4 linked regions of the Notamacropus eugenii genome follow. The protein of the gene in region 3 purifies or fractionates together with the protein of the main gene of each other region. This does not show direct contact. Links are inferred from orthologs where the notes say so. Each region holds a gene or a part of one and is shown on either strand. Other genes may lie near its edges. The genes, in order: IFIH1, BAG6, MAVS and ITCH.

What was found.
Region 1: the proteins of MAVS (region 3) and IFIH1 purify together in Homo sapiens (affinity purification with western blotting; 12 studies listed by BioGRID and IntAct, with this or other methods). This does not show direct contact. The link is inferred for Notamacropus eugenii from reciprocal best matches to the Homo sapiens genes MAVS and IFIH1.
Region 2: the proteins of MAVS (region 3) and BAG6 purify together in Homo sapiens (affinity purification with western blotting; 3 studies listed by BioGRID and IntAct, with this or other methods). This does not show direct contact. The link is inferred for Notamacropus eugenii from reciprocal best matches to the Homo sapiens genes MAVS and BAG6.
Region 4: the proteins of MAVS (region 3) and ITCH purify together in Homo sapiens (affinity purification with western blotting; 3 studies listed by BioGRID). This does not show direct contact. The link is inferred for Notamacropus eugenii from reciprocal best matches to the Homo sapiens genes MAVS and ITCH.

What each region holds. Positions count from the first base shown.
Region 1 is NC_092876.1:221,886,405-221,894,113, forward strand, and holds the start of IFIH1 (interferon-induced helicase C domain-containing protein 1), read right to left. Parts: upstream 3,017-7,709; coding exon 2,122-3,016; intron 1-2,121.
Region 2 is NC_092873.1:85,277,688-85,285,433, forward strand, and holds the start of BAG6 (large proline-rich protein BAG6), read right to left. Parts: upstream 3,011-7,746; 5' UTR 2,876-3,010; intron 2,748-2,875; exon of another isoform or gene 2,621-2,747; intron 2,240-2,620; 5' UTR 2,230-2,239; coding exon 2,122-2,229; intron 310-2,121; coding exon 192-309; intron 78-191; coding exon 1-77. Other genes in the region: APOM (apolipoprotein M), read left to right, coding at 6,709-6,822, 7,203-7,357. UniProt on the Homo sapiens protein: ATP-independent molecular chaperone preventing the aggregation of misfolded and hydrophobic patches-containing proteins.
Region 3 is NC_092872.1:735,786,440-735,793,283, forward strand, and holds the start of MAVS (mitochondrial antiviral-signaling protein), read right to left. Parts: upstream 3,011-6,844; 5' UTR 2,880-3,010; intron 2,384-2,879; 5' UTR 2,335-2,383; intron 944-2,334; 5' UTR 931-943; coding exon 814-930; intron 519-813; coding exon 344-518; intron 1-343.
Region 4 is NC_092872.1:418,486,999-418,494,425, reverse strand, and holds the start of ITCH (E3 ubiquitin-protein ligase Itchy homolog), read right to left. Parts: upstream 3,015-7,427; 5' UTR 2,996-3,014; coding exon 2,801-2,995; intron 1-2,800. UniProt on the Homo sapiens protein: Acts as an Acts as an E3 ubiquitin-protein ligase which accepts ubiquitin from an E2 ubiquitin-conjugating enzyme in the form of a thioester and then directly transfers the ubiquitin to targeted substrates.

The sequences.
Region 1 (7,709 bases), on a different chromosome or scaffold from region 3:
CTTCTGTTTGGTTTTTAGTCTTTTTATAACCTGATCTCTTCTGACCTTTTCAGCCTTTTAACATTTTAGTCCCCTCCACATAATCTGAGCTCTAGTAACTCTGGCCTTCTTGATGCTCCTCAAACAAGTTACTCCATCTTCAGACTCCAGGCATTTCCCACCCCCACCCCCCATACCATACCAATCCCCATTCTCATCTCTACCTCTGTTTCACTGGCTTCAAGTTTCAGCTAAAATCCTACTTTCTACAGGAGTAGGGCTTTCCTGACTCCCCCTTAATTTCAGTGCCTTCCCTCTCTTGATTATTTCCACTTTATCCCATACATAGCCGTTTGCATTTTGTCTCCCCTATTAAACTGTGAGCTTCTCAAGAGCAGGAGCTATCTTCTGCCTTTTTTTTTGGTATTCCTAGCATTTAGCACAGTATCTAACACATAGTACAAAAATAAATGAGAAACAAGTGATGCCTATCAACTGGGGAATGGCTAAACAAACTATGTTATACAAACATAATGGAATATGACTGCGATGTAAGAAATGATGAATGTGGTGAATACAGAGAAGCATAGAAAGACTTACATGAACATGATAAAAAGTAAAATAAACAAAACCAGGAAAATCTACACAATGACTACAAGGTAAATGGACAGAACCACAAAATAACTGAAAACGAATGCTGTAAAATTGCAAAGAATAAGTTTGGCCCCAAAGAAGCTATTAAAAAAATCCATCTTCTCTCAATATTTTGCAAAGATGGTGGAGAGGTTCACAAGTATGGAATACTGAATATATTGTCACATTTTTTAAAAATTTCATTGATTAGGTTTGATTTTTTCTTTGAATATTTTCTCTAATGTAAAAACAATTTTTAACATTGTTTTAATTTTAGTTCTAAATTTTCTCCCTCTCTCCCCTCCCTCCTCTCTGAAAGAGAAAGCAATTTGACATAATTAGACATGTGCAATATCAAACATATTTCCATACTAGTTATGCTGTGAAAAAAAACTCTACAGATCTCCCCCCTAACCCAAATAACAGTAACACAATAAGATAAAAAACAGTATGCTTCTATGTGCATCCAGACACCATCAGTTTTTTCTCTGGAGACGAACAGCATTTTTCATAACGAGTCCTTTGCAAATGTCTTGGATCACTGTATTGCTGAGAATAGCTAAGTCAGTCACAGTTGATCATCATACAGTATGGCTATTACTGTAGACAATGTTCTCCTGGTTCTGCTCACTTCACTTTGTATCAGTTCATGTAAATCTTTCCAGGTTTTTCTGAAATCATCCTGCTTGTACCCCCACAAGGGGTACAGTCATTACCTAATTGATGTTTTTTTTCTTACTTTTCTAATTGTTATATAAGTTGGAGGGGAAGGATTGGGCAAGATAATGGAGTAAACTTAAGTGACATAAAAATAAGATAAATTTTAAAAGTGAGTATAAAACTATATAAGCCATTGATTCCATACTGAAACCAAAGGCAGAGCTCTTACTCAATACGTCAGAGAGGTGTGGCATCTTTGACCTGTTAAAAGGCACACTGATTCCTGCAACATAGGAACGTCTCCCTTTCCGTTTTTAAAATACCAAACATTCTCATTAAAATGTCTGTATTATGAGTTTTTCATGACATAAGCTACCACATAACCACTGCTCATACTGAAAGATGGGACTGGACAGGGATCATGAAGCCCTGAGTACAGCTAGCTACAGAGTCATTCTCTTACATCCTCAGAAGCAAAATGCCCCCACTTTAAAAAGTCTGTCTTTGATAACCTTTTATGTCTAATCAATATTTATTTGGCAGGGGGGGGAAGGGGCAGGGATGAAGTAAGAGAACAGCTCTCTCGCGTCATGGATCCTAAACTTCCAAGTGGACGAACGCCTCAGAAGCCATCTCGCCCAGCTCCCTCCTGGGGCACACACAGATCGGGTGATCTGCCCAAGATCGCAGAGGCAGACCAGATCTGAACTGGGCTGTCTTTTCACCTGGCCAGGTGAGCTATCGGGTTCTCAAGGAATAACTCGGTCAGAGGTGCCCCAGAATGCACACAGGTGCGCGCACACAGGTGTGCACACCGGGGGCAGGAGAGGGCTCTTTCTGAGGAGGCACCTACCCGGTTCCGGTCTTCCTTCGTCAGCAGATCCTTCTCCAAGCACCTGTCCACCACATCAGCGGCGTGCAGCTTGTCCACCAGGGTGGGCTGCAGAAGGTCCAGCAGCTGGACGCACCGGTCGTGACAGGTCTCTAAGGACGGCGAGGGCAGGTCGGCGAGGTCCGGGCTCACGTAGCGAGCCGCCAAGGGGCAGCCCCCGTTCTGAAGCCCCGTGAGGAACTCCCGGGTCCAGCCGGGCCCCCACGTGCCTCTCTCCAGGGTGCTCAGCAGGACCTCGGCCGCGGCCGTGTTCCCCTCCGAGGCCGCGACGTGCTGGATCTGCTCTTTCTCCGCTCTTCCCAGGAAGGTCAGGTAGTCCAGCACCGGCTCCACTCGGATGTACCGCTTCAGCCTGGGCCTGAAGCACAGGAGCAGACTGCGGAAGGTCTCCTCCGGGGAATGCTCCCTCGACATCTCGCCCGGGTCGTGGGCAGCCCAGGGGCCCTCGGCGCGCTCCTGCGAGCCCTTCCCTCTTCGTCCTGCCTCGGCGCGGACCGTGGGTTTTACCGGAATGGCTCCGGCTGGCCGGCCTGCGCGGCGCTGAGTGCCCTGGCGCCCTGCTCCGCCAGGACTGCCCGCGGACACAAGGAGAGCTCCCTGGGCAGCTCTACCGGCTCGGCTCGGACCGGCAGGGCCCCCGGTCGCGGTGACACCACCTGTCTCGTCCCACAGCCCAAGCGCCGGCTGTCCGCGGGGCCAAGCTTCCGCCTGGTGGCCTGCGGGGAACTTAGTTTTTAAAGTCTGAACCGGGACAATTTCTGTTTCGATTCCCGGCTTCCAGAGCTTCCGTGCGTGAAGAGAGGGGCGGAGCCAGGCTGCGGCTGGGGAGGAACGTATATACGGACAATTCATGCAGACCTGCCTATTCAGAGGCAAAATAAAGTAGGTCTTTATTGGGTGAAGGAGCGAGCAGCAGCTCTGCGCTGAGTAGGAGGCAGAGCCCCCGCGTCCGCCAGGATCCTAATTCTAGCAGCCCCGGGTGCATGCCCCAGACTCCCCTCCGGGCCGGGCCGGTTACGGAGACCTTCATTTTCTCCTTGATAAGATACAGGAGCGGGGCTAAACGATCTCCCAGGGCCCTTCCCGATTTGACTTAAGATTCCCCAACTTCCCTTGCTTGCTTTAGAGAAGACTGAGAAAGGCTTCAAGTCCGTGAAAGACGTATACAAGCCGTCAGCGCTTCTGTTCCCAACAGATGCAGTGATGGGTTCGGGAAAGTGATGCAGGAAAATTTGGACAGCTGGGTGAAAGTCTGTAAAGAGCGCACTGCAGCGTGAGAGGTAGGTGGAAGAGCTCTCCATCTCCCTCCTCCTCCCTCTTTCTCTCTGCCTCCCTCTTTTTCAGAAAAAAGTACTTTCTTTTTAGACTTCAGATCTGTCGGAGACATTTTATTAATGTATATGGTGGTACAATGGATAGACTATTAGACTTGGGTCAGGAAGACCTGAGTTCAAATTCAGCCTCAGACACTTACTAGCTTTGTGACTTCAGGCAAAGCTCCTACCTCTCTCAGCCTCAGTTTCTTTATTCATAAAAAGGAGGATAAAAATAACGTCTACCTCACAAGGTTGTCATGAGGACCAAGTGAAGTAACATATACAAAGTACTTCACAAACCTTGAAGCGCTAGATGAATGTTAGCTGTACACACATATATAAATGTATGTGTGTGTATGTACACCTACACACACACACACACTCTCTCTGCTAGTTGGAAGGAGAGATAAATGGCACATTTACCCCTGCTAATTGAAACTCCCCCTCCCCAGGCAAGCTCTTCATACATTTTATAGTTTTCAGAAACAAAGACAAAATTTCACAGTCAAGATCAAACAAATTTCAGAATTTAAGGAACAGAATGTAGGTAACACTCAGATGGATCAAGTCCAGTGATATAACAGCATTCAGTCCCTCTTTAACCACTGCCTCTAAGGACTGTCTTTTACTCATGATCAAAAGTGAAGGAACGAATGAATGCCATTTATTAAAAACTTACTATATTGCAAAGCACTGAATTAGGGATAGGGACACAAATAAAAATTTAAGACATTTCTAGCTTTCAAGGAGCTCCCATTCTAATGGGGAAGAACGTATAGATAAGTTTCAGCTCCAAGTCAGATAGGAAAGTCCTAGGTCCTTAGGTTGTAATGGTGAAGCATATGGTAATGCATCATGTTCAGTGTCATTTCCATTGATTAACTCATATCACTTTGTCATGCTGAACAATTTAACAGGGTCAAAGATTTTGGAAACAATAATCTTCTTTTCTTGGTATTAAGTAGCTGTGGTTGCAGCATCCACAGAAGCGGTTGCTATATGTCCTCGGATAGAGGAGAGAGAAGTCTTGGAATGACTGAGGTGAAGGCTGGGTTGGAAACCAAACTGATGGTCTGGGGGTCTTGTCATTTCTGGGATTCTTGGGCTTAGATACTCATAGACGGCAGATGATCAGTTACTGGTGAACTCAAGTGAAGAGACATTTCTATCAATTGAATTTAAAAAAAACTTCCTTCTCATAAATCATTGTGCTAATTACTTCAAGCAGGAGTCCTTGACTAATCAGGCTTTTCTCTGTAGAAACTAATTGGGTTTTCAATGAAAATGATTTTTGAAAGATGTCAGTGTAGGACATTGTTTCAGGATTAACAATTAAAGAAAGACTTTTAAAACTTTAGATTAAAGTATGCTCCTAATATTATTTTGTAATATTAGGAGGGGAAGGGGGGGGATGGGGACATTGAGCTCGGTTTCCACATGTTTCTTTACAACTTTTACACATAAATAGAGGGCAATAACATCTAAGGTAAAGACTACTCTATGGAGTTGACATCTCCCTAATCCCATCAATCTTACACACTGCTCCAATAAAAATTTTTATAAAAAACACCATTATCTATATATCATTCAAAAAATTTCTGCAATAGTCCACTATCAAAGTTCCAGATCTTTAGCCTAGCATTCAAGGCTCATCATAATCTGGCCTCTACCTCTGAAATCTTATTTGTCAGTATTGTTCAACACTAACTCTATGGGTCAATTCATTTTTTCACCCTTAACACACCAGGCGCATGGCTATCTCTTGGTATGTTTACTCACATCTGATCGTTGAATGGAATTGAATTTCTAAAATACTTTCCTAAATTTTTTTCATGCCCTACAGGTTCTTCAAAGCCCAGAACAAACTGTGTTTCTGATGGGGTGCTTATGCTCGGGCCCCATTTCCAAGATCACATTTCTCCCCAGCTTCAAAACACTAAGAGTTTTCTCCCCAGCCCAAGGACAGTATGCCTAGCAATAACTCACGAGTGGGCCCCAGGAAGACAAACTATCTTTCCCCATCACAAGAACAAGCTGACCTCTGAAGAAATTCTGTTGTAAAAACAGGACTATCTTGTAACCACAGAATTATCATGTATTGATTCCCAAAGTTATCATATTCAATCCAGAGGTCAAGTTATAGAAATCAACTCTCAAAGCTACCTTACCACAGATGTAACACCAAAAATACACCCCTTAAAAACCTCTTCCCCTGGTTTCCAGTAGTGAATGATGCCAGTGACCAAGGTTGCAAGTTATCATCTAATTAGCATATCTGCCAGATAATCCATTACTTTTCCTATATAAGTTTTAGCATCATTCCTGTTAAGTTGCATGAAGCTCTGCCCTCTATATTGGTGTTACAATAAACCTTTGCTAATTTGACTTAAAGAATACTTGAGGGGGGAGGAGCCAAGATGGCGGAGTAGAAAGACACACATATGCTAGCTCCAAACCCACAGCCCATAAAATATCTGTAAAGAAGAACTCCCAACAAATTCTGGAGCAGCAGAAGCCACAGAACAACGGAGCAGATGAGATTTCTGTTCCAGAGAGCCCTGAAAAACCGATGTGAAAGGTCTGCCATGCCCCAGACCCAGAGCAGAGCCCAGCCCTGCCTTGGCCATAGCACGGAGAGGAGCAGATCCGAGCAGGCTTCAGGGACAGAATCTCCAGCAGCCACACGGGTCCGTTCACCCACAGGTGACAAGGGTTGGTGAGAGGGTCTCTTTGGCTGGCCAGGAGGGGAGTGGGGTGTCCCTATAACTCAGGCCCCCTTGGGAGACAGCAGCAGGGGCAGCAGCAGACAGGGGCTCCCCAAGCAGGCAGGAGCCCGGATTCATTGTTGAAGATCTCCACATAAACTCCCTGAGGGAACTGAGCCCCAAGTGGCGGCCCTGCCCCCACCTGAGCACCTGAACTTAATCTCACACTGAATAGCAACCCCGCTCGCACCCAAAGCCCTGAGGCTGGGAAGCAGCATTTGAATCTCAGACCCTGCTGGCTGGGTGGATCTGGAGGCAAGGTGGGTGAGGAAAGAAAACTCAGAAGTCAAGTTACTGGCTGGGAAAATGCCCAGAAAAGGGAAAAAAAAAATAAGACTATAGAAGGTTATTTTCTTGGTGAACAGATAATTCCTCCCTTCCTTTCAGATGAGGAAAAACAATGCTTACCATCAGGGAAAGACATAGAAGTCAAGGCTTCTGTATCCCACACATCCAAAATAAATATACATGGGCTCAGGCCATGGAAGAGCTCAAAAAGGATTTTGAAAATCAAGTAAGAGAGGTGGAGGAAAAACTGGGAAGAGAAATGAGAGAGATGAAAGAAAAGCATGAAAAGCAGGTCAACACCTTGCTAAAGGAGACCCAAAAAATGCTGAAGAAAATAACACCTTGAAAAATAGGCTAACTCAATTGGCAAAAGAGGTTCAAAAAGCCAATGAGGAGAAGAATGCTTTCAAAAGCAGAATTAGCCAAATGGAAAAGGAGGTTCAAAAGCTCACTGAAAAAAATAGTTCTTTCAAAATTAGAATGGAACAGATGGAGGCTAATGACTTTATGAGAAACCAAGAAATCACAAAACAAAACCAAAAATATGAAAAAATGGAAGATAATGTGAAATATCTCATTGGAAAAACAACTGACCTGGAAAATAGATCCAGGAGAGACAATTTAAAAATTATGGGACTACCTGAAAGCCATGATCAAAAAAAGAGTCTAGACATCATCTTTCAAGAAATTATCAAGGAAAACTGCCCTGAGATTCTAGAACCAGGGGGCAAAATAAGTATTCAAGGAATCCACAGATCACTGCCTGAAAGAGATCCAAAAAGAGAAACTCTTGGGAACATTGTGGCCAAATTCCAGAGTTCCCTGGTCAAGGAGAAAATATTGCAAGCAGCTAGAAAGAAACAATTCAAGTATTGTGGAAATACAATCAGGATAACACAAGATCTAGCAGCTTCTACATTAAGGGATCGAAGGGTGTGGAATAGGATATTCCAGAAGTCAAAGGAACTAGGACTAAAACCAAGAATCTCCTACCCAGCAAAACTGAGTATAATACTTCAGGGGAAAAAATGGTCTTTCAATGAAACAGAGGACTTTCAAGCATTCTTGATGAAAAGACCAGACCTGAAAAGAAAATTTGACTTTCAAACACAAGAATGAAGAGAAACATGAAAAGGTAAACAGCAAGGAGAAGTCATAAGGGACTTACTAAAGTTG
Region 2 (7,746 bases), on a different chromosome or scaffold from region 3:
CGAGGCAACCCCAGAGGATGGAGGCTGGGTCTGTGGAGGGGCCCGCTCCACCAGATGGATCACCTTTCCCCCAACATCTGTAGTAAATGAGAAAAGAGAAGAGAAGAGTGAGGGAAAAGTCAGTTAAATACCTCAACCCTCCCCCCAACCAGCAAATAATCCTTCTCCTGAAGCCCCATCTAGCCCCTCACTGTATTCCTGTAGCTTCTTCTCATCCTGCAGAACTCGCCCCTGATATATGAGTCGCTGTTTCTCAGAAGGGATGCTGACCGAGGCAGCAATATGCTCCTTAAATTCCTTCACTGTCATCTGCAGAGATGAAAAGGAACAGGAAGAAAGGTCACAGAATATGTAATGCAGAATATCAAGCAATTAGTGGGGGGTAGAGGGGGGGTGAGTCACATAACAGTTATAAAAATCATTGCCCATTTTATTACATTTATGAAGTAGCCACTGCCTGCAAGGTTCTGGGCTAAGAAATACCTGACAGAAAACAGCAATTTTTAAAATTGCAATTTATTATTTATTTTTGACATTTTCCTTTTAAATTCTGAATTCTAAATTCTCTCCGTCCCTCCCACACCCACTGAGAGGCAACAATATGATATCAATTACACATGTGAAATCACAGCAATGGTTTTAAATGGAAATTCAATGGCTAGCCCAGGAGAGAATTAAGACATAACAACAGAGTCCCGTTAAGTCCTATATTCTCTCCCTTCCCTTTGGTTCTATGTCTGGAGTTACAGGTAGGGAGAACCTTACCATAGATATAAGTATGGTTAATAAGGGAACATTCTGTGAGGGAAAAGGAACTGTAATCAGACACAGGGTCCCAGACTGTGTTTGGATATCAGATGAGATTAGTTTAACAGATGAGATTAATGACTTGTGCATGTCCAAAGAAATAGGCTTTTTGTGTTATCTATGTATAAGTAGACATACACATACATGTATAAATGTGTTTATGTACGTAGGTGTATATATAGACATACACATACAAAATATTCTTCCTTACGTTGCTGTCTTTGTATCAAGTTAACAACAATAGTAAAAATAAACATTTATAGAGCATTTTACAGTTTTGCAAAAGCAAATAACATAGAGAGGTATTATAAATTTATCATTTCTAGTTCACTCATAAGGAAATCTAGGTTTAGAGATGTTTGGTGATTTTATCAATCCTAAATCTTTCCTAACTCTAAGTATACCATTATTTCCACAATACTGATCAACTAAACCAGACTTAGGGTGTATCCTAACTCAGTTATTCTGTCCCTGTGCCAGAAACCAGGGCATGATTTGAAGTGATAAATGGTTTTTCTCCGTGAGATTTCAAAACTTGAGAATATCCCCAAACAACCCTACTTCTAGGTTCTTCACTTTCATCCATGTTATACTTTCTCTACTGATATGGATCACAACTATTCTACTACTTAATAGTTTAATAAATTACTGTAAACAAAAAATTCATTTGTAGGCCAATCTTGTGATGATCAACCTCCTCTGAGTATTTCTCAAATGACAAATATTTAGTACACTGCTGGATCCGTAATCAAAGCCTTTCCAGCTTGATGGGACTTGGAAGCCTTGTAGTTTTGTTGGCCTTGCCTTAGAGAGCCAAACTATTATGAGCCAGCAAAGTTAAGGAAAGAAACATCCCTAATTACCCTCATACTTTCTCAAGTCTACTTGTGGTTTCTGCCAGCGTGCCCTGCCCCCACCCTCACCCCCCACAGGTTCCATATCTTTTTCCATTACAGCTGGAGGCTCTTCAAGGACAAGAAATTCATACTCTTTTTTTGCCTCTAGGATTCTCCTAAGAACATAATTATTCATATGATAAAGAGACTGTCCTCTTAGGAAATGCATCTCTCTGTGACCCAGACAACAATCAGAACACTTTCATGAGATGTTTCTTTATCTACAAAATGAAGAGAACCAGATGATCTCTAAACTACTTTCCAGTTCTAAAATCCACTAACTGATGTTCAATATGAATAATACATGTAAATAGAAGACAGACAGAGAATCTGGTGGGTCCTTTTCTCAGGATGAAAAAGTGATTAAGGAAAAGCTTTTTATAGAAACTCCGAAGATTTTTGAACCCTCAGCTCTCACCTCAGCCCCCACAGTGAAGGTTCGAGTCTGGGAGTCCAAGGTCTTCACCAGTACCTCCAAGTTGGCTGGTTCCTCCATAGCACTGCTGCTATTATCACTGGGTTCCATGATGAACACGCTGAAGAAGAAAACAAGACTAAATTGTTATCACAGGATCTAGCTAAGTTCCTACGTTCCAAGTGCTGATCCAAACTCTACCACAACTCCCCAAGGAATCCAACCCCCACTCCAACTCCAAGCACACACACATTGAGCTTCTAACCCTGGGTGAGGGGAAGAGAATAACAAGAGCAGTAACTCAAATACAGGAGAGGCTTTGAAATAACGCCTGTAATAACGTCAAGGCAGCATCTGTCACGACCCAAAGGAGGACAAGAATGAGAAAAAAGGATGGGGGGGAGGGGAAGGCGTGCGGGGTAAAGGCCTGAATAAGATTGGGAGGTCCCTTCTGTCAAGAAGGTGAGAAGGGACCAGGGAGACATGCGCCACGCACGCGCACCATGCCACGCCCACCGCGATAGGGAGCCCGCGAGCCTGCTTCTGTCGCGACAGATCAGGAAATCGGGACAATGACGGAAGGAAAAGAGAGGCCCCGGTCTAGCTGGATGTCACCCTTCCCCTCGGTGGTACAGTGAGAACTACGCACAAGTACAAACACATATACATACATGTACGTACACCCACATACATACACACTAGCTGGTAAGTACGTACACCCACATACATACATACACACACACGCATATACACACACCTGCCCCGCGGCTCCGCCCCCGGCCTCCCGGCGGCAACGCCACTTCCGGTCCTGCCCCCACACTTCCGCACGAACACTTCCTGTTCCCCGATAGAAACTGGGGGGTCGCGAGACGGCACTTCCGGTTCCCCCGGTCCCCAAGATTTCCTTCTGTGGGGTACGACGAGGAAAGGGGCAGCCCGGGTTACCGGGGAGCCCCTAAGAGGAAACGAGTCGGGGCTCGGCCAAGGTGGGAGGAAGCCGAGCACCCACAGGAGCCACCGTCGCCGCCTCCCGGGGGACCTTAGTGCGCTTGCGCAAACCACACTGCGCTTGCGTACACGATTGAGGACCCGCCCCACTGATTGGATTTACCAGCCTACAGTGCGCGCCTGCGCCACAGCGCGAGGAGGGTGGGGAGGTCGCGTAGCGGATGACTACAGCAAATGCCTGAAAGTAATTTTCCCGTTGGGGCTTTCCGTCTATCTCGCAAAAGACCTGTTCTCTCGTGAGTGGGAGGACTGTGCCTTTGGCATGGAGGTTGCTTCTCTAAAAAGGGAAGAAATTCGCGGTTGGCCGCGTCCATCGGACGGCAATATTTTAGACACCTAAAGTAAACCCGCTTCCACCTCTCCTTAGGTAACCTTCCAAGCAGGCGGTTAGGGGCGGTGAAGGTTGGGGCTCCGCACCATGTTCATTCAGAGGGGCACGAGCCAGCCGCCATATTTCTTTTGGGCAACGCGAAGTTTTTCAGGGTGGGATTCATACGTGGGCGGGTTTGCGTTTTTTTTTTTTCCTTCCTAAGGGTCACGAGAGTAGCCAAACCACTCGTTGACATCTCTGCCTTAAATGGAGGGGGTGGGGGAAGAGGTAAAGAGGCCATATTTTTTGAGGGCGGAGGTTGCTGCCATTTTGTTACTCTTGCTTAATGCTGGTGGGGGAAGGGAAATGGAAGGTGGTAGCTGGTAGTGGGACAAAGACCAGGGATAGGGAATGGGGGAACCAGAGGAAGTCTGGACCATAGAGGAGGTGACAAATCCAGAGAGTAGTGCTCGGTGGCTAGGCAAGACCTTTGGAGGTCCCCTTGGGGCTAGGAGGGTCACCATTTCAGAACTGTAAGGGATTTAAGAGGCAGCTTATTCCAACCCATACCTCAGCAAAAGCTTCTCCTCAAGAAATCCCCAGCAAAGGGGTCATCAAGATTCTACTTAGAAGACCTGGATGAGAGAGAACAACTACTCTTTAACAGCTCATTCAGCTTTTACATAGCTTTCACTGTTCAAGATGATTTTTCTTTACATTGGGCCTTCAAAATGGGCTAAAGACAAAAAATTATTTATCCAGTGCAATTTTATTAATTACCAATTTAAATCCAACCAATTGAATCTCAGATCAGGCCCTCTTTTTTTTTTCCCCCTGTAAGATTTATCATAGACTGCATTAAAAGAGGTATGTTGTCCAGAATGTGGAAAATAGCTTTGTGATTTTCAGCCCTGGTCAGATCACATATGGAGTCCTGTGTTCACTTTGGGGTACCACATTTTTGAAAGGACAGTTAGGAACTGGGAAGCATTCAAGGGAGGACAACCAGGATGGTGAGGGACTTGGAGGAAATTTACATACACAGATACATACATATACCTTTGTTGTTGTTCAGTCACATCCAACCCTTGGTGACCCCATTTAGGGTTTTCTTGGCAAAGATACTGCTGGAGTGGTTTACAGTTTCCTTCTCCAGCTCATTTTAGATGAGGAAACTTGCCAAGTGACTAAGTGACTTGCTCGAGGTCACACAGCTAATAAGCGGCTAAGGTCAGATTTGAACTCAGGTCTTCCTGACTCCAGGCCTGGGCCATCAAGCTGTCCCTAATATACATACATATACAAATATGTTCATAACTGATGGAAGGAACAGGAGATTTGTTAGCTGGAAAACTGAAGGCTCAAGGAGGGATATAACTGTCCTCAAGTATTTGAAAAGTTGTCATTTGTTAGAGTAATTCTACCATTCCTCTGCGGCCCCAGCTGTCAGAACTTGGAGCAATGGACAGATATATTGGGTTTTTTCCTAATGGAGCCTTCTGCAAATGCAAGGGAGTGGTGCCTCTTTAGGTGGTGGGTTTCCCCTCACTGGAGTCATTCAAGTAAACACCAGATGACCAGGAGTAGAGGATGATTAGAGTAGATTCTTTTTAAGGTATAGGTGTATAGCCCTTGGGGGTGGAGCGGGGTATAGTGGGCTATATGTTCCCCATTGAGTAGGGTTCCAACTCTGAGATTTTATAAATTTGGCTGTGCTTTATTGTTCGAAAATTTCTCTTGCATCCTTGTTTCCCACTATTGTTTAACCCTTGTATGCATTTCTTTCTGAACATTTAAGCTTCTGCAAAATGGAGTTATTTGCTTCTCAAACTTTCTTACCTCCTAATCCTATTCATCCTCTAAAGCTACCTTTAAGTGACATTTCCTTCAGGTAATAGTAGCCTTCTGTTTGCTTCTCATCCCCCAACTGATCCTGTTATTTTGCAGAAAGGTGCATTTTATTTGCTCCTCTCATATACTTTTGTTCTTTGCACTATAGTTATTTATGTATGTTTTGTGCACTATGAGATTGTGAGGTCAATGAGGATAGGTAGCAGAAGGTAATTTGGTTTAATGGAAAGAGTACTGAACTTTACAGCACGACTAATGTGAAAATGTTTAATATGAATGTATACGTAGCACCTATATCAGATTGTAGGCCTGTGTGTATATGTACATATATGTGTATATGTAGCACCTATATCAGATTGCAGGCCTGTATGTATATGTACATATATATGTATATGTAGCACCTATATCAGATTGCAGGCCTCTGTGTATATGTACATATATGTGTATATGTAGCACCTATATCAGATTGCAGGCCTGTATGTATATGTATGACCTACATCAGGTTGCAGGCCTATATGTATATGTATAGCCTATATCAAATTGCAGGACTATATGTACATGTACATATATATATACATATATACACATATATATATATGTAGAGCCTATATCAGATTGCAGACCTATATGTATACGTAGAGCCTATATCATATTGTAGGACTATATGTATAATGTATATGTAGAGTCTATATCAGATTGGGGTGGGGGAAGGGGAGGAAAGGGGAAAAATTTGTAACTCAAAATCTTATGGAAGTGAATGTTGAAAACTAAAAATAAACTTTAAAAAAAAGTTGAAAAAAAATTACTGGACTTGGAGTCAGAGGATTTGGATTGATTGCCAGCTCTGCCACTTAGTAGTAATGTGACCTTGGAAAAATCACTCCTTTTTCAGACCTGTTTGGTTATTTGTTAAAAATGCAGGGTTTGAACTTTTTAGGTTCCTCTGAAATCTAATATATCTTTCTCTATGCCCAGCACAGTATATAAAAAGTACTTAATAATTACTTTTTTAATGTAATGATTTTGCTGCAGTGTTTGTCTCCTTAATTAGATAATATGCTCTTTGAGGACAGGACTTCTGTCTATATTCTCTCTCCCTCACCAGACATGGTGCTATGAATATAGTATACAATAAATACTGCCAGTGAATGAATGAAGGAACCTCCAGAAGGCTGCACCCTTCCCCTCCCCCAGCCAGGTGTAAACTCCCAGTTATGCTGCTAGTATGTAATTTGAGGAGGGGGAGGAAAGCCCAGAACACTGTCAACAACCCAGAGTTGGGTTGGAAAACAAGACTAGTTACTCATTAGCAGATCCAGGGGATCAAGGGTTGAGGAAAGGGGCCAGAGGCTGCACTGGACAGAACTCACAGAGGAGAGTAGTTTCAGGCAGCTGCCACCCTTGCACTATACTCTCTGAGGATGTTCTACCAAATTTGGAAATCTGTCCTTTACATCTCCGGGATTCTCTATGACTCCATTTACCAGTGTTCTAAGCCTTATCAATTAAGTCCTCTGGAAGTAAATGGAAAAGAGGTATGGGGGCAGGAAGGAGGGTAGGGGAAAGACAACAGGAGGGAATTAAGCAGGGATTTGGTGGTCTGTAGAAGAGATTTTGAGGGACTTAAAGTGGGGAGCCTGGGGGAATACCTGGAGGTACAAGATGATATGGGGATAGTGATGACAAGGAACGGATATAAAAAAGAGTACTGAGACTTTTAGAGTAGTAAGCCCAAAGGTCTTAACAAATGAAAAAGCCTTATTAAAAGAGGTAGGAGTGACCTGGGGCAAATGAAATGGAAGCTCACCCATAGTTCCAGAACCATTGGGGGATGAGGTTGAGTGAAGGATAATGAAACCTATCTGCAAAGGAAGAGTTTTTGATTTCATACCCTCCTCCTGTCTTGCTCATCCAGTTCCCTGGACCCTACCTGGGTCAATGGTACTTCATTGCCGGTGCAGCTTCTACAAAGCAAGATCTGGAGATCTTTGTCCCAGTGGACAACATTCTCTTCAACATGGCTGCTAGCCATGTTCCCCAAAATCTCCAACTACAGGCCACCATCAGAAAGTAAGTTGTGGGGAAGGGTATCCCATCAGGTACCTTTCTCTCCATTTATTATTTCAAGCCAGAAATTCCCAGAGTCTGAGCTAAAGTTAGGTTTCTATTTGGACCATTGCCAGCTGCTAAATGTAATGGCCTTTCCCCATTAGATAATTGGGATTCCATCAAGGGCCCTTATTATTCAGTCTCCTAATATCTTGACCTCTCTGGGTTAGCTGACTCTAGTCTCTAGTTCATCCCTGGTTAGCATCCTGATTAATAGATACAAAATTTTTCTGCCAGGCCAGTTGTCTTCCCTCAGGACAAAGAAAATGGGCTCTTTGCTGAATGGGTTAGATTAAATGGAAGGGAGAAAAGGATTGGTGAAAGAGTTTATCTGTTTGTGTGGAGGAAGA
Region 3 (6,844 bases):
GTGTCTGAGGCCAGATTTGAACTCAGGAAGATGATCCTGCCTGATTCCAGGCCCTGTGTTCTATCCACTGCACCACCCAGCTGCCAGGCCAGGCAGCTTAACAGACACTTGTGGAATGAATAGAAAGACAGACAGAAGGATGTAATAGACAAGATGTTCAATAGAAATGATAGAGAGGATAAACAGATAGAATAAACACATACACACACACACATGTGGAGGTGGAGAGAGAGCAGATGAGAGGGTGAGAAGGGAGGAAAGGTGCTGAGGCATAGACACACCAAGGCTGGGGGAGGTGCTCAGTGACCTCCCAGTGCAAGAAGACAAAAGGAAGGGCACTCACGGGCCTGGTTAGATGCATAGACATTAGCAATGACATCAGCGAGGTCCGTCAGCTCGCATTCCTTCAGGGCTGTGATGAGACAGGTCACCCAGCCATTGCGCTTACGAAGGTGATCAAAGAGCTTCCACACACTGTCACGGTTTCCATGACGGTCAATGTAGGCACGGAGCTGGTCCTGGAAGAGAAAGTTGTGACCATGGCTTCAGAGAGCTCACCTCCCAAGCTAGGACTGTGGCAGCCTCTGAGCCCCCAGAGAGGAGAAAGAAGGGATTGACACACTATGAAGAGCTTCTGTAGCTAGGGTACAAGTCTGGGATAGGCTAGGGCAGGGGCCTTGAGAGCAAGGGTAAGGGAGCAGGGGAGAGGATGCAGGTGTCCCAGAGGGTGTGAGTATCCTCTGCATCTAGCTGATAAGGGGAGAGGAGGAGAGGAAGCTTCAGGGTGAAAACTGCCTCTGCTATATCACCTACTTGGTCAGCAACGGTGAGGCAGGGCAGGTGGGACAGGATCTCCAAGACATCAATGCGGAAGAAGTCACTGAGGTGGAAGCGAATGTACTGCTCAGTTCGGTCCTCAGCCAGAGGCATGGTCACTCAGGGCCTGAAGGGGAAAGGAATGAGTCTGTGGTGTGAAGAATGTGGAGGCAGAAGGACTGGGGCTGACTCCTGGCCCTGCCACTCATTATCTGTGTGACCTTGGGGAAGTTCATTCTCTTTTCCCTCTCAGGGAGATGTGGTAGGGGTGGGAACCTGAATAACATGAGCTAAGTTCCTTTCAGTTTCTAAAGTGAGTGAGGACAGCGTACTGGCCCAGCAATGGCCATCAAGTAGAGCGCCAGCAGAGATGGAGAATTCTTCAGAAGATGGAGGAAAAATCAGTGGGGCCATAGAACCACGGAGGCTTCTTGCATTTGGAAAGATGGAGGGAGAAAGGAAGGCTTGCGACTGTCATCTGACAGACACCGGTGGGGCAGCCAAACCCAGGCTCCCCCTTTTCAATGAGCAAGGGTGATCAGGGAGACTGGTTTTCTCTTCTCCTGAGGACTTTCCATAATCCAATGCAGTCCAAGTTGGTTGGGAAGTCTGGTTTGGAGGCAGAGGGATGGACCAAATGACCTCTGATCCCTTTCAAACCAATTACAGAATGTCGGAGTTGGAAGGAACCTCAGAGGCCATCTAGTCCAACCAACACCTGAATAAGAATCTGGACAAGGTGTCACCCGGCCTTCCCTTGGAGACTCTCTGTAGAGGAGAACCCATGACAGCCTGAGGAGGCAGCTCTGTTAGCATGGTTTTCCTGACATCAGATCTAAAAACGCTTCTTGGTAACGTCTGCCCATCCTTCTGAGTTCTTCCTTCTGGGGTCCATAGACAGTGTCTGCCAAGTCTCCTCTTTACAGCACAGACCCTGTTCCTGTGCCATGATCTTGAGGCTATCACATCTTGGTCACCCTCCCTGTTCCACCCTCCTTCCTAAAGTACAGCCTGCAGCCCACACAATACTGCCCCAGTGCTCTCTTGGAGAACACAGCTTTCCTAGCTGATGTACCCCATATAGTTATCAATGAAACTTTTGCCCAGCCATTCCTCTTCTTGTCTCGGTGCTTTTTGAGCCCAGGTGTAAAACATCATTTATCCTTAGGAGGTCTAACGTTCCAGTCCATGCCCATCCCTTCCAGCATTGTGTCACCTGCAAGTCTGATGCAAAATCTATCCCTTCATCACAGCACAGGATCGAGCGAAGATCCGGTGGCCTGGAGCACTGGTGACCTCCCTCCCCTCTCCCACCGGGCCATTAATGACTATCCTTTGTGCCGGACCACTTCACTAGTTCTGAATTCACTTCACCCGACCATCATTTAATCCATGGCTCCCTTTCCAAGAATGGCATGAGAGAATTGGGCAAATGTTGTGATTCAGCGGCAGTACAATGCACCATTAGAGCTTCACTCCTTTGGGAGTAAAGTCTTATCTCCAGAAGGTCCTAGTTACCTCAGCACAGAAGGGCACTTCTGATGGCTCCAGCAGCGAGCACTGCCACCTAAGGACGGAGAGAAGGGGATATTGGGGAGGGGGCCCGGGGTGTCAGGGTTGGGAGAGCCCTTCTGGGGCCCCTCTGCTCCCGGCCTGACCCTGCCCCGGGGCGGAGGGGGGTGCCCTTCCCCCACGAGGTCTCGGCATCTGTGGGCACCTGGTCAGAGTCACCAGGCTACGGCCCCAAACAAACACTCCTGTCCTCGGCCCCTGCCCAGGTCACGGCTCGGACCGCGGGCAGGTGCCCGGTCTGGGCCACGTGGACCAGCCGCCCCCCTCCCCCCCCCCCCCCCCCCCGCCCTCCCTCCAGCCTCAGTCCCCTCCTCTCCCACCTGCTGCACTCCGAGGCTGCCCCTCCCCTCCCCCGCCCAAGGACCACGGTCAAGGGCAGACGAGCCGCGCACCGGCCCTACCCCCAAGGCCCGCTCCTCCCCCTCCTTTCTCCCCTGCCCTTGACCTCCAGGGCGGCCCGGAGGGGGTCCCCGAGACGCCGCCCCGCCTACCTGCGGGCAGAGCCCCGCTCAGCTCCGCTCCGGTCCGGTCCAGCCGAGGCTGGCGACGGCTCTGGCGCAGCGGCCCAGGCTCTGAGGCTGCCCCGGGAAAAGGCGGAGGCGCCCGCAGCGCCCGAGCGGAGCCGAGCACGGGGGCGGCAGGCGGGGGCAGGACCAGGCCCAGGCTCGCGCCCGCCCTCGCGGCGCCCGCCTATTGGCCGGCGGGGCGAGGGGGCGGGGCCTGGAGCGAGAGGGGGGAGGGGAGGGAGGGGAGGGGAAAGAGGGAGGAAAGGGTGGGAGGAGAGAGGGGAAGGAAGGAAGGAGGCCGGGGAAAGGAGGGAGAGGGTCGGGGGAAGGGGGGGTCGGGGGAAGGAGGGAGGGGGTCGGGGAAGGAGGGAGGGGGTCGGGGGAGAGGACTGCAATGATTTGACCAAATTTGACAGGAAAAGGAGTCAACAGGCCCTGCCAGGCGCCATCCGGCGCGTCTCGGGGCAACAAGTTACCCCAAAAACGGACAGAGGAGGAAGGCCAAGTACTGCGGGGGGAGCGGGGAGCCGTCGCCCAGGGAGGGGGGTCCTTGGCCACAGCACAGGCCATGGGGGGAGGGGAGTCGCTCTTCAGGGGCTGTCCCCGTGCTCCCGTCCTCCGACTGCTCTCTAACTGTCCCGGGGAGGAAGGCAGGCCAGGTCGCCTCTGCTCCTTCGGTGCGGAGGGCGTGTCCAGCCCTGGCTGGTGGGAGGAGGAGGAGAAGAGCCCGGGCCCCGCCAGCCGGGTCTGCACCCCGCTGTCCCCCTCCGAAGGCGGGCCGAGGCACAGGCAGGCGCCTTATTCCGCGTCCGTGGAATGAAGGAGTGAATCCCGCCCCAGCGCACGTTCTAAACCGACGAGCACTGGAGAACGCAGAGCCAGGGTCCGAGGTCGCCCGCGAAGGTGCCCCGGTGCTCCTAGGTGGCGCTAGAGGGCCTTGCGCTGGAGACGCGAGAGCACCTGGATCCTCAGACCCGGGGCAAGGCACCGGCCCTCGGCCTCGGTCCCCCTAAGCACCCCGGCCCCCACTTCCCAGGCTGATGTGAGGATCAAAGGAGACAGTATTCCTGAAAGCGCTTAGCAGTGCCGGGCACACGGAGGAGAAACGGGAAACGCTTGTTTCTTTTCCCTTCTTCCCTTACAAGTGGCCTAGGATCGAGCTCAGTTCTCAAATTTCTCGGTCTCAGGATATATTTACTTTTAAAAATTGCCGAGGACCCAAAAGTTTTGTTAAGGTGGGTTGTATCTATTGATATTGACCATACTGGAAAGCGAATACATTTTTGAAAGTCACTTAAAAGTAACATAGTAACTATTTTCCAAAACAGGACCTGTCTGGTGAGTATTGTTTTACCGATTGTTGTGAGGCTCTTGAACGTCTGGCTGAATAGTTGGGGTCTTGTTTCTGCATCATCTGATCTGCTGTGACATGTTGTAAGAAGAGAATCTAGCCTCACGCAGAGGCGTTGGGCAAGAAGTACAGTAGGCAAAGGAGGTTTAGGATAAAAATCCAAGGGCCACATGGACAACCAAATTCATTTTACAGATGAGGAAACTGAGGCAAACAAGGTGAGGTGACTTGCCCAGAGCCACACAGCTAGGGACTGGGTTTGAACTCAGGGGCATGAGTCTTCCTGACACCAGGTCGCTGACCAGTTACTCAAACCCAGATCCTCCATGTAAGTTATGGCTTTTTCACACTACATTATGCATTAGGAAAAGACTACTTGGAGTGATGAAGAATCCAGCTGGAGAAGGGAGGAAGAAGGCCTGCCTCTGGGCTCCATGCTGTGGAGCGTGGGGGAGGCCAATCTGGGGCCTCCCTCAGGTTATTTTGTACAATCTCTTTACTTTCTAGAAGAAACTGGAAACCAGGGTGGGAAAGTGCTGGGTAACCGCATAGCTTATTCCTTGGCCCACTGTCAGTGTCCTCCCTGGGCTTCCCTAGATGACAAGCCCAGGTACAAGCATGCTGCTCCCCTGCTCCAACACCAAGGGCTCTCCGTAATTGTGTGGCCCAAACACTGGCTCCCCTGTTTGGCACTACAGGCCCTTCACAATCTGGCTCTGGTCATTCACTGACCAAGAATGGACTTAGCAGTTAGTAATAATAGTAGATGACATTTCATCCACCACTAAGTTTGCACTGAGTTCTGTGCCAGTCACTGAGGATTCAGACAGACAGGCCTCAAGGGCAGTCTTCCTGCAATATTCTGGGGAAGGACCCAGGGACTTTCTGTAGAAGGTGTTGCATGAACTGTGCAAGGCTGAGGAGAGGGCAGAGGACATGCTGGGCCTGAAGGATGGAAAGCTAGTCCAAAGACAAGCAGATGTCATGCCATCAACCAAAAGAACCAGCAAGACAGTCTGGTTGAAAAGTAGAATCACGTTCAATAAATCTGGACAGCTAAAACACAAACAAGAAAAGCATTTTTTTATTCTCTATTAAGAGGAGACACTTGACTTTATTCAGCAGGACAACAACAGAGCCGGACCTTCGCCTTAGGAACACTGCTCCCCAAAGAGTATGGAGGCTAGGCTAGAGGGGAGGGAGGCTGGAAGACCAATTAGGAGGCTAGTGCAATAGTTCAGAGAAGAGTAATGAGGAACTAAATTGGGGAGTGGAATAGAAAGAAACATGCAAAAGATTTGGGACCAGATTTGATGTGGAGGTGGAGATGAGGAAACAGGTCACACAGCTAAGCACGTGTTTCAAATTCAGGTCTTTCTGAATCCCCATCCAGTGCTCCATCCACTCCCCACAAGATTTAGCTAAGTTAGGAAGAGGTGGGCCTTGAGATCTAATAAATGACTTTGTTTTGGACATTTTGTGCTGGAGCTATCTCAAGGCCACCTATGCACTTGGAGAAGTTCACAAAAGAGGTGATGTGGGGCTTGTGCAGCTGGGGCTGTACACAGAGGTGAGAGTTCAGTCTGGAGAGCCAAGGACATCAAGTAAAGAGAGGGCCTTGGGGTGGACACTGAGGAGTGACCGGGCTGAAAGCAGCCTTCCTTAGCTGGCACACACAATTCATCTACCCCCTCTGGACCTTTGTACAAACCACCCCTCATGCCTGGAATGCAATCTCTTCCTCCCCTCCACCTCTTGGGATCCCCAGCCCCCTTCAGAGCCCAGAATGGCATTTCAGGAAAAGCCCCAGCCTGGCTACACCTCACTTCCTCCTCTCACCATGAATATGTTCCTCCTTTGCTGAACCTCTGAAGTTCTGGAGCCATGAATTACCATCAAATCAATTCGGCCACCCTTCCAGACACTGCTTTGTTTCTGCATTTATAGCTCAGCTACTCACACAGTAAGTGCTTGCTTTGGGGCAGCTAGGTGGCACAGTGAATACAGTACCAGTCTCACCTCAGACACTTGACACTCACTAGCTGTGTGACCTTGGGTAAGTCACTTAACCCCAACTGCCTCATCCTGGGTCATCTCCAGTCATCCTGATGAATGGATTCACTGGATTCAGGTGGCTCTGGAGAAGAAGTGAGGCTGGTGACCTGCACAGCCCTCCCTCACTCAAAACAAAGTCAAGTGCAAGTCATGTCATTATTTCTCTGATAGCAAGGTCTTCTTCAGCAATGAAGGACAAACACACACAAGTGCTTGCTAAATAAATTCATTCCCACCTGCCAGAGGCTTTTCTGGGCTTCGTGCTAGTAAAGGCTCTCTTGCTTTACAGACTTATCGATGCATAGGTCATTCCTCCTCAGAGGAACCTGACATGGAACCTGACACAACCAAAAAGCACTTGTTAATCAATCTCCTAAAGATCCAAAGATCCAGGTGGCGAGCTGCATCGGAGCACTTTGGGACAAAATGCTGAGCAAACCCTGTGGTTCACTTCAATTACAAGGGCTTCTTGGGCCCCTGGCCCACTCTCCACAATCTCTTCTTGGGCCTGTTGGCAATGTGGAGTGGAGTGGACCCTGCATCC
Region 4 (7,427 bases), about 320 Mb from region 3:
TAGACAATACCAGGGTAGAGATGCAAATTACAGAAATAAAATTGAAACTCAAATGACAGGAAGCTAACTAAAGTAAAGGATGGAGACAATTACAAGACAAAAGCATGTGTGTGGGTGTGTGCGTGTGTGCGTGTGAAAAAATTCCTACCCAAACTAACAAGACAGACCAAGTGGATGAAAATGTCTATTGTTCCAATTTCAACATGGATTTTGATGGACACCCACAGAACTTCTCCAACACTCTGTATATCTAGGACACACAATACAGATAGATATGAAGGAACATGACCAGAAATGAACAGGAGGATTGTTTTCAGAAAGCTGCAAAGGTCTTTTACTGACCCCAAGTTTCCTATGAAAGCAAAGGCACGTTTTTTTCAATACTATCATTTTACCAGTGTTCTACATTAGCAACAAGATGTAGAGTATTACTGCCTCTAAAGAAAGGATGAGTATCATAGAAAGGGTAACAGAAAAGCGTAGTCTATACAAACAGATTACAACACATAACCAACAAAGAACTTCAAAGAACAGGAGTGAAGAATGCTACCCAAAAAACACATGAGAGAAAAAGATGGTTTGTCATATAGTAAAAGCAAAGGATTACAGTGGACAGCTACACTGTTCCACTGGTACCCTGCTGATATCAAGGCAAATAGAGAAAAGGATGATCTCCTCCCCATTGAGTAGTTCCTCTCTGAAGAACTTTTAGGACAACATGGACCTCACCAAAAAATGGGTAGGTATGAATAGGTTGCAATCTGCATTTTTGGAAAGAATGCCCAAAGCTTTGACACCAAAGACTCATATGAATATTTTCTGGTACATACCTAAATGTGTACATGTCTCCTGTGATAGACTAAAAAATCCTTGAGAACAAGGACTTTTTCATTTCTGTCTTTATTTCTTTGGTAGACATAGGTTAGCATGTAGCAGAAGCTTAATAAATTCTTGCTAATTGCTTGACTGGAAGGAAGTTAGATAGATACTTTTTAGTCCCTGGAATAGAGCACTAGCTCTTCATACCATTCAATCTAAACTCCTACTTCTTCTCAAAACCCAAACTGACCTGGTACTAATTGGTGGTGTTTCACATAAATATTAAGGAATGGCTCCCTAGGAACTGAACTCAAATATAATAGACTGTGTTATTCAGCCTTCTTAATGAGCCCCTTTGACCAATCTGACAGGGCAATCACTTGGCAACAGTAAACTTTTTTTCTGCATAGCTGAAAATATACAGATGTAATTATTTGGGCCTTATAGTCACTGTCTCTGAAGCCACTGTATTTGCCATTGAGTCCTTTACATTAACTGAAACTCAGAAACAGGATAGGATTTCACCAGATCTCAAATCAGTTCATTTCTGTGGTGAAAAGGTTCTTAGAAAATAAATCTCTAAATACCCATAGCTGGTTTAGAAAGTGAAAGAAAGTAATAGAAATGCACTACTTAATTCATTGTCTTGTAAATATAGCCTTTCTCCATAGTTTAAAAGCAAGAAGGCAGTGGCAGTTGGCTATTCTACAACATGAGGGGGGAAAAAATTCTACAACAAAAATCATACAACATACATATACACATAAAACCTATAACAGAAACCCATCCTATGAGAAGGCAAGAAGTATGGGAAAAAATTAAGAGGTATACTAAAACAAAGTTGTCTTTGTTCTGAATCAACTTTAACTCTCCTTTAAGAAATGTGCCTTTTTGAGAGCTTAAGCTCACCTGTTTACACGCAAGATGACTAATTTTAGACCCAACCTCTATCGCCACCCTACAGAGCTGGTGTTTTTATCTACTCTTTAAGTACTCACGTCAAAATACTCGTCTTAAAAACAAGTTACACCCCCTTCCCCACACACCACCACCACCACCATCATCATACTGTCGGGCTTTCATTTCCACCTGTGTTGGTCGGTTGCTTTTTTTTTAAAAGTCATCTCAGCTTCAATGACCCAAGAAAATAAACACTGCACTGAGGGCAAGGGGGCGGGCGCAGACAGAAGGCACCAGAGCCCCGGGGGAGAAAGGCAAGGGAACCGAACAGCCAGCGAGGACAATGGGAAGGAGGAGGGTTCGTCAGTCGCTCCCTCTCTTTCTGGCGGGTGCGATTTGAAAGAACCAGGTGAAAGCTGTGGACTCGGGAAAGCCAGAGCAGCGCTAGAGTGAGACGTCCTGGAAATGAAGCCGCAGGAAGGGGGCGGGGACAGCAAGTGGGCAATGTTCGCCCGCTCGCCCTCGCTCCGGACGCCTTCGGTCCCAGGGGGCTGCAGCCGCCCCCCGCCCCGGCCCGGCCCAGGTGCCAGCGGGGGGCGGGGAAGCCTCCGCCTCCACGCTCCCCTCCCCCCGCGGAACCCCGGCAGCAGGGTGCCTGCGGCTCGCGCCCAGTCACTAGCTAGCCGGGGCCGGCACGGAGCAGAGCCGAGCGGGGCGGAGCAGGGCTGGGCTCGGCAGCGAGGGGGGAGAAGCGCCCCGCCACCCTCGTTCTCCCCTCTCCGCCTCCTCCACACACAACTTCTGGGCCCGGGAGGCGGGGGACTCCAAGCCCCTCCGCCTCGCCAGCCCCACAAGCCAGCGTGCCGCCGCCGCTCCGGGCTCGTGCCGGCCCCCTCCCCCGCGCCCGGCGGCCCCACTTGTCCCTCTCCCCTCCCGCGGACCGGGCCCGGCAGTGAGGGGGCTCACAGAAACCAAGGGGCCACCCCTCCCTCCCTCCCTGCGGGGCACGGCTCCGTCCGTCCTCCCCGAGATCTCCCCCTCGCCCCGCTTCTAAACCAGCCGCCCTCCCGCAGGTGTTTACCGGTCTGGGGGGAAGAGGAGGAGGAGGCGGCAGCGGCGGCGGCAGCAGCAGCTCCTCAGTCCCGCGGCTAAGATGGCAGCCACTCCCGAGCTCCAACCACGGCGAGCAGCCAAAGTCGGCACCCAGTGCGCAGGCGCGGCCGCTCCGAGGTGGCGGAGCCAGGGAGCGGCCGGGACTACAAGTCCTAGTAGGCATCGCGAGCCCCGCCCATTTCCCAGCGAAAGGTGCCAGGTTTGGGGGCGGGGCAAAGGGGAGGGGGAAAAATCCTGAAGCAGCTGGCTTCCCCTAGATACTTCAAGGGCAGGTGATTCGGGTCTCGGCGATTCTTCTCTGGAAGTTCTGAGTGTGAGATGGGCACGGGTTGCATCGTTAGACGTAAGAGTCGGAAGTCCCGGGTTTGAGTTCTGACGCCGGCAAGTGTTGTGGGACCCTGAGCAAGTCGTGGCATTTGCCAGAACAAATGACGTCTGCTTCTGTAAAATGGGCATGATAACTCCTGTCCTTCCTGTCTCACAGCAGTGCTGGGTAACACCGCCAGTCCTAGTACCAGCTCCAGCCCCTGTACCCTGTCTGCCTCACACCAATCTGGATAATAACCCTGGCCCTACCGTTTGGCAAATAAAGGAAAGAGGTACCTATGTTTACATGGTGGTTGTCCTTCATTCTCGAAGACCAAAATGACATCACCATGATAAAGTCCAGTTTCAGTATGTCCGACTATGACTGATCAGATCAATACGAGGTCGGAATGCTTCACCACAGACTGGTCACAGATGTGAACATTTAGGGTGGATACTTCAAACTTGTGCATCCTCCGTTTCCTTTGTGCTGTTTCAGTTCTGCTTTGCTTATAGAGCACAGAACTTTTTCTGATGTGGGCACAGCATGCTGAGCGGTCCTGTGCCATGTTGCACAATCAAATCCAAAGTTCTTGAGAGAGACCTTGAGAGTGTCCTTGTATCACTTCTTCCGACCACCATGTGACCATCTGCCCTATACAAGTTCTCCATAAAATGGTCTTTTTGGCAAGCATACATTTTGCATTGAAACAACCATGGCCAGCCCATGAAAGTTGCGCTCTCTGAAGCATATTTTGAATGCCCTGCAATTTAGTTCAAGCAAGGACCTCAGCGTCGGGGTACCTTACCTATCTTCAGAATCTTCCTAAAACAGTTCAAATGGAGACGATTTGGTTTCCTGGCATGGCACTGGTAGACTGTCCAAGTTTCACAGGCATACAACAATGAGGTCAACACAACGGCTCTGTAGACTTCAGTTTGGTAGTCAATCTAATACCCCTTCTCTGCCATAGTTTTCTTAGGAGCCTCCCAAACACTGAGCTAGCTCTAGTAATGAGTGTGTCAACCTCATTGTCAATGTGTATATCCCTGGAAAGTACACTACCAAAGTGAGTGAACTTATCCATGGCATTCAAAACTTCTCCATTTGTTGTAACTGATGGTTCCATGTGTGGAACACCTGTGTTTTCTTGGTGTTAATTATTAGGCCCAAATTAGCACAGGCAGCAGAGAATTGACCCATACCTTGTTGCATCTCAGCTTCAGAGGCTGCATTGAGTGCACAATCATCTCCAAACAGAAAATCATGCACCAACACTCCCTCCTCCTTGGTCTTGAATTGTAGCCTTTTCAAATTGAACAATTTACCATCTGTATGGTAGCTGACCTTGATGCCATGTTCAGCTTCATTGAAAGCATTTGACAACATGGCTGAAAACACCATGCTAAAAAGCATGGGAGCAAGCACACCACCCTGTTTCACTCCATTGGTGGCTGACAAGGCACGAGAGCATTGTCCACTATCCAGAACCTGGGCACACATGCCATCATGAAATTGACATACAATACTGATGAACTTCTCTGGGCAACCAAATTTTGACGTAATTTTCCATAAGCCCTCACGACTGACAGTGTCAAAGGCCTTGGTCAGATCTATAAATATTGTGTATAGACCTCTGTTCTGCTCCTGGCATTTCTCCTGGAGTTGTCAGGCAGCAAACACCATAACAACTGTGCTTTGGCCCTTTATGAAGCCACGCTGGCTCACAGTTAGATGACCATCTTCCAGGTGAAGGATCAGCCTATTAAGGAGGACTCTAATAAAAATCTTGCCAGCAGTGACTAAGAGAGAGACACACCCCCACCCTCCCACCCCCATCCCTCACCCCGTGATTATCTCAGGACGATCTATTTTCTTTACCTTTATAGAGATGGACAATGGAGGCATCCTTGAACTTCTAGGGGATAACCTTCTCTTGCCATATAACCTGAAAAATTTCAGCGTGTGTTTACATAAGACTAACTAAAACAGGACAAGTAAGCCTGAAGTCCTTCTAGGAGCCAAGGCACAGTATTAAAGTGATATGAAGAAACCTCTTACTCTATACACAGCTTTACAAGGTGCTACAAGACATGATCATAGCATTAGAAGGGACTTCAGATTGTCAAATCCAATCTCAGTATTTACTCAGTTTCCTGATGGGAAAACTGAGTCCAAAAGAGGGAAAATGATTTGCCAGAGGTCACATAGTTAAAGGCAGAGCTTGAACTAGAACCTGGGTCTTTGGGGCTCATGCCACTGTACCATCCTGGGTCCCAAAGAATATAAGCTATGGGAAGGAATATAGCTGAGGGGCTCAGGCTGTCCAGCCTGGAAAGGCAAAGAGTCCTCCCTTCCATTCATATGCAACATACTGGGTTCAGAGGCCTTTGGGGCTAGCACAGGAAAACCTCTGATCAGAGTTCAAAGATCTATGCCACAAGACTCAGTAGCGACTAAAGCAACTCTCCACCTTCCTGCATGAAGACTTTATAACACATACAATCAGTAAGAGCCAAGAAATTAGAAGCTGCTACTGTCCCATACCCTTCTCCAATCATTTAGAGGGCGAAGTTTAGCCAGATAAGAGTAGAATAGGGGAAGAGGGAATTGAGCCATAGGCTATAAAGCCAGAAGGAACTTTGGCGGTCATCTAGTCTGATGTCATTTTACAGAAGAAAAAAAACAGAGGTGAAACATGACTTGCTGATATTGTACAAACAGCATGATAGTAAAACCAGAAGTCTAACCCTGAGTTCTTTGACTCCAAATCCAATGTTTTGTTTTGTTTTTCTGATGCTACCTTTCAAAAGTAAGAGTGGAAATCCTTTGATTATCCAACCATTTAAAAATAATTACTTTTGTTAGAATGAATTAATAAGACCCTGGTGTAAACTGGGCATTTACACCTTCTTGAGTCAATCCAAGGCATTGTTTGAGACTTGGTTATGTCCTAAAGAAATTGTATAAAAGGAGCTATCTCAGAATAAAAATTCTAAATTTTAAGAAAAGAGGAAGAAAGAGTCATACAGAGGCAGGCATGAAAGAACTGATATTATAGGAAGCAACTAACCAACAAAAGGACAGAGAAGAAAGATATCCAGGAGGGTTATTGGTTCTACAGGCTGACTCTACAGTGTGCCCCACCTACTCAAGGACTGAGGGAAGTACTGAAGGAAAAAAAGTATTCTCCCCAAATTCCTCTCCTGGTGCCTCTCTATCCACAGACACTATAATATAGTCTTATTTTTTTTTCAGCCCAAATATTTCCAGTAACATGAATTTTGCCCCTACCTCCAAAGAGGCCAAAGGTTAACTAGAAATAGATATAAATGTAAATTGAAGCAGAGCTCCATCTCTGCCTAAATATTAGGAATTTTTGTAACTGGGGCTGCTCTAAGAGATTGTGATTGAAACTTGTAACTTTTCATTTAAAATAAAGTCCCTTAAGTCTCAGAGAAGAGTACTTTGTGATTGCTTGTAAGTTTAAAACAAGCTAATTATTTTAACAGTGTTAACAAGTATTGAAAGAGATGTTATATAGAAGAGAGTTTAGAATTTTTCTGTTTATACCCAGAAGGCTGAAACAGTAGCAATGGATGAAAGCTGAGAAAAGGCAGAATAAGCTCTAACATAAGGACTCTCTAACAATCAATGATATTCAAAAATGTAATGAGCTGTCTTGGGAAATAATTATTTCTTCTTTGTCAGAGGTATTCAAGAAGAGACTGAATAATCACATTTAACAAATGTATAGAGGATACAGGTATAGGTTGAACTCGATGATATCTGAGGTCCTTTCCATCTCCAAGATTTAATAGATCTTCTCTTGACTTCACAAAGCAGCCACTTAAGGTCACTAGCACTTTGGCATTATGGAAAACAAAAAAGAAAATATTTTTATCCATACTTTGTATCTACCTCAGTGCTAGAAAGAGGTATACCTCAGGTATTTAGTAAATGGCAAATATGTTGGTGAATGGACGGTATTTCTGAGGCACCATGGCCCTTAAAGCTGTCCTGCGAAGACCAGCAAATCTTTGCCCAGGCATAGGCAAGAAGAGGGTCTGAGAGTAGGTCTGGCCATATTTATAATAACTGTTGACATTTATACAGTACTTTACATTGGATCCTCACAGACCCTGTGAGGTTGTCCGAATGTTATTAATTTCATTTAACAAGAGAGGACACTGAGACACAGAGAAAGGAAATGACTGAGCTTAGGCTGTGCAGTAAATACCAGAGCTTGGAAAGAAACCAGGTCTCTTGTCTTTTCCTTGCTTTTCTA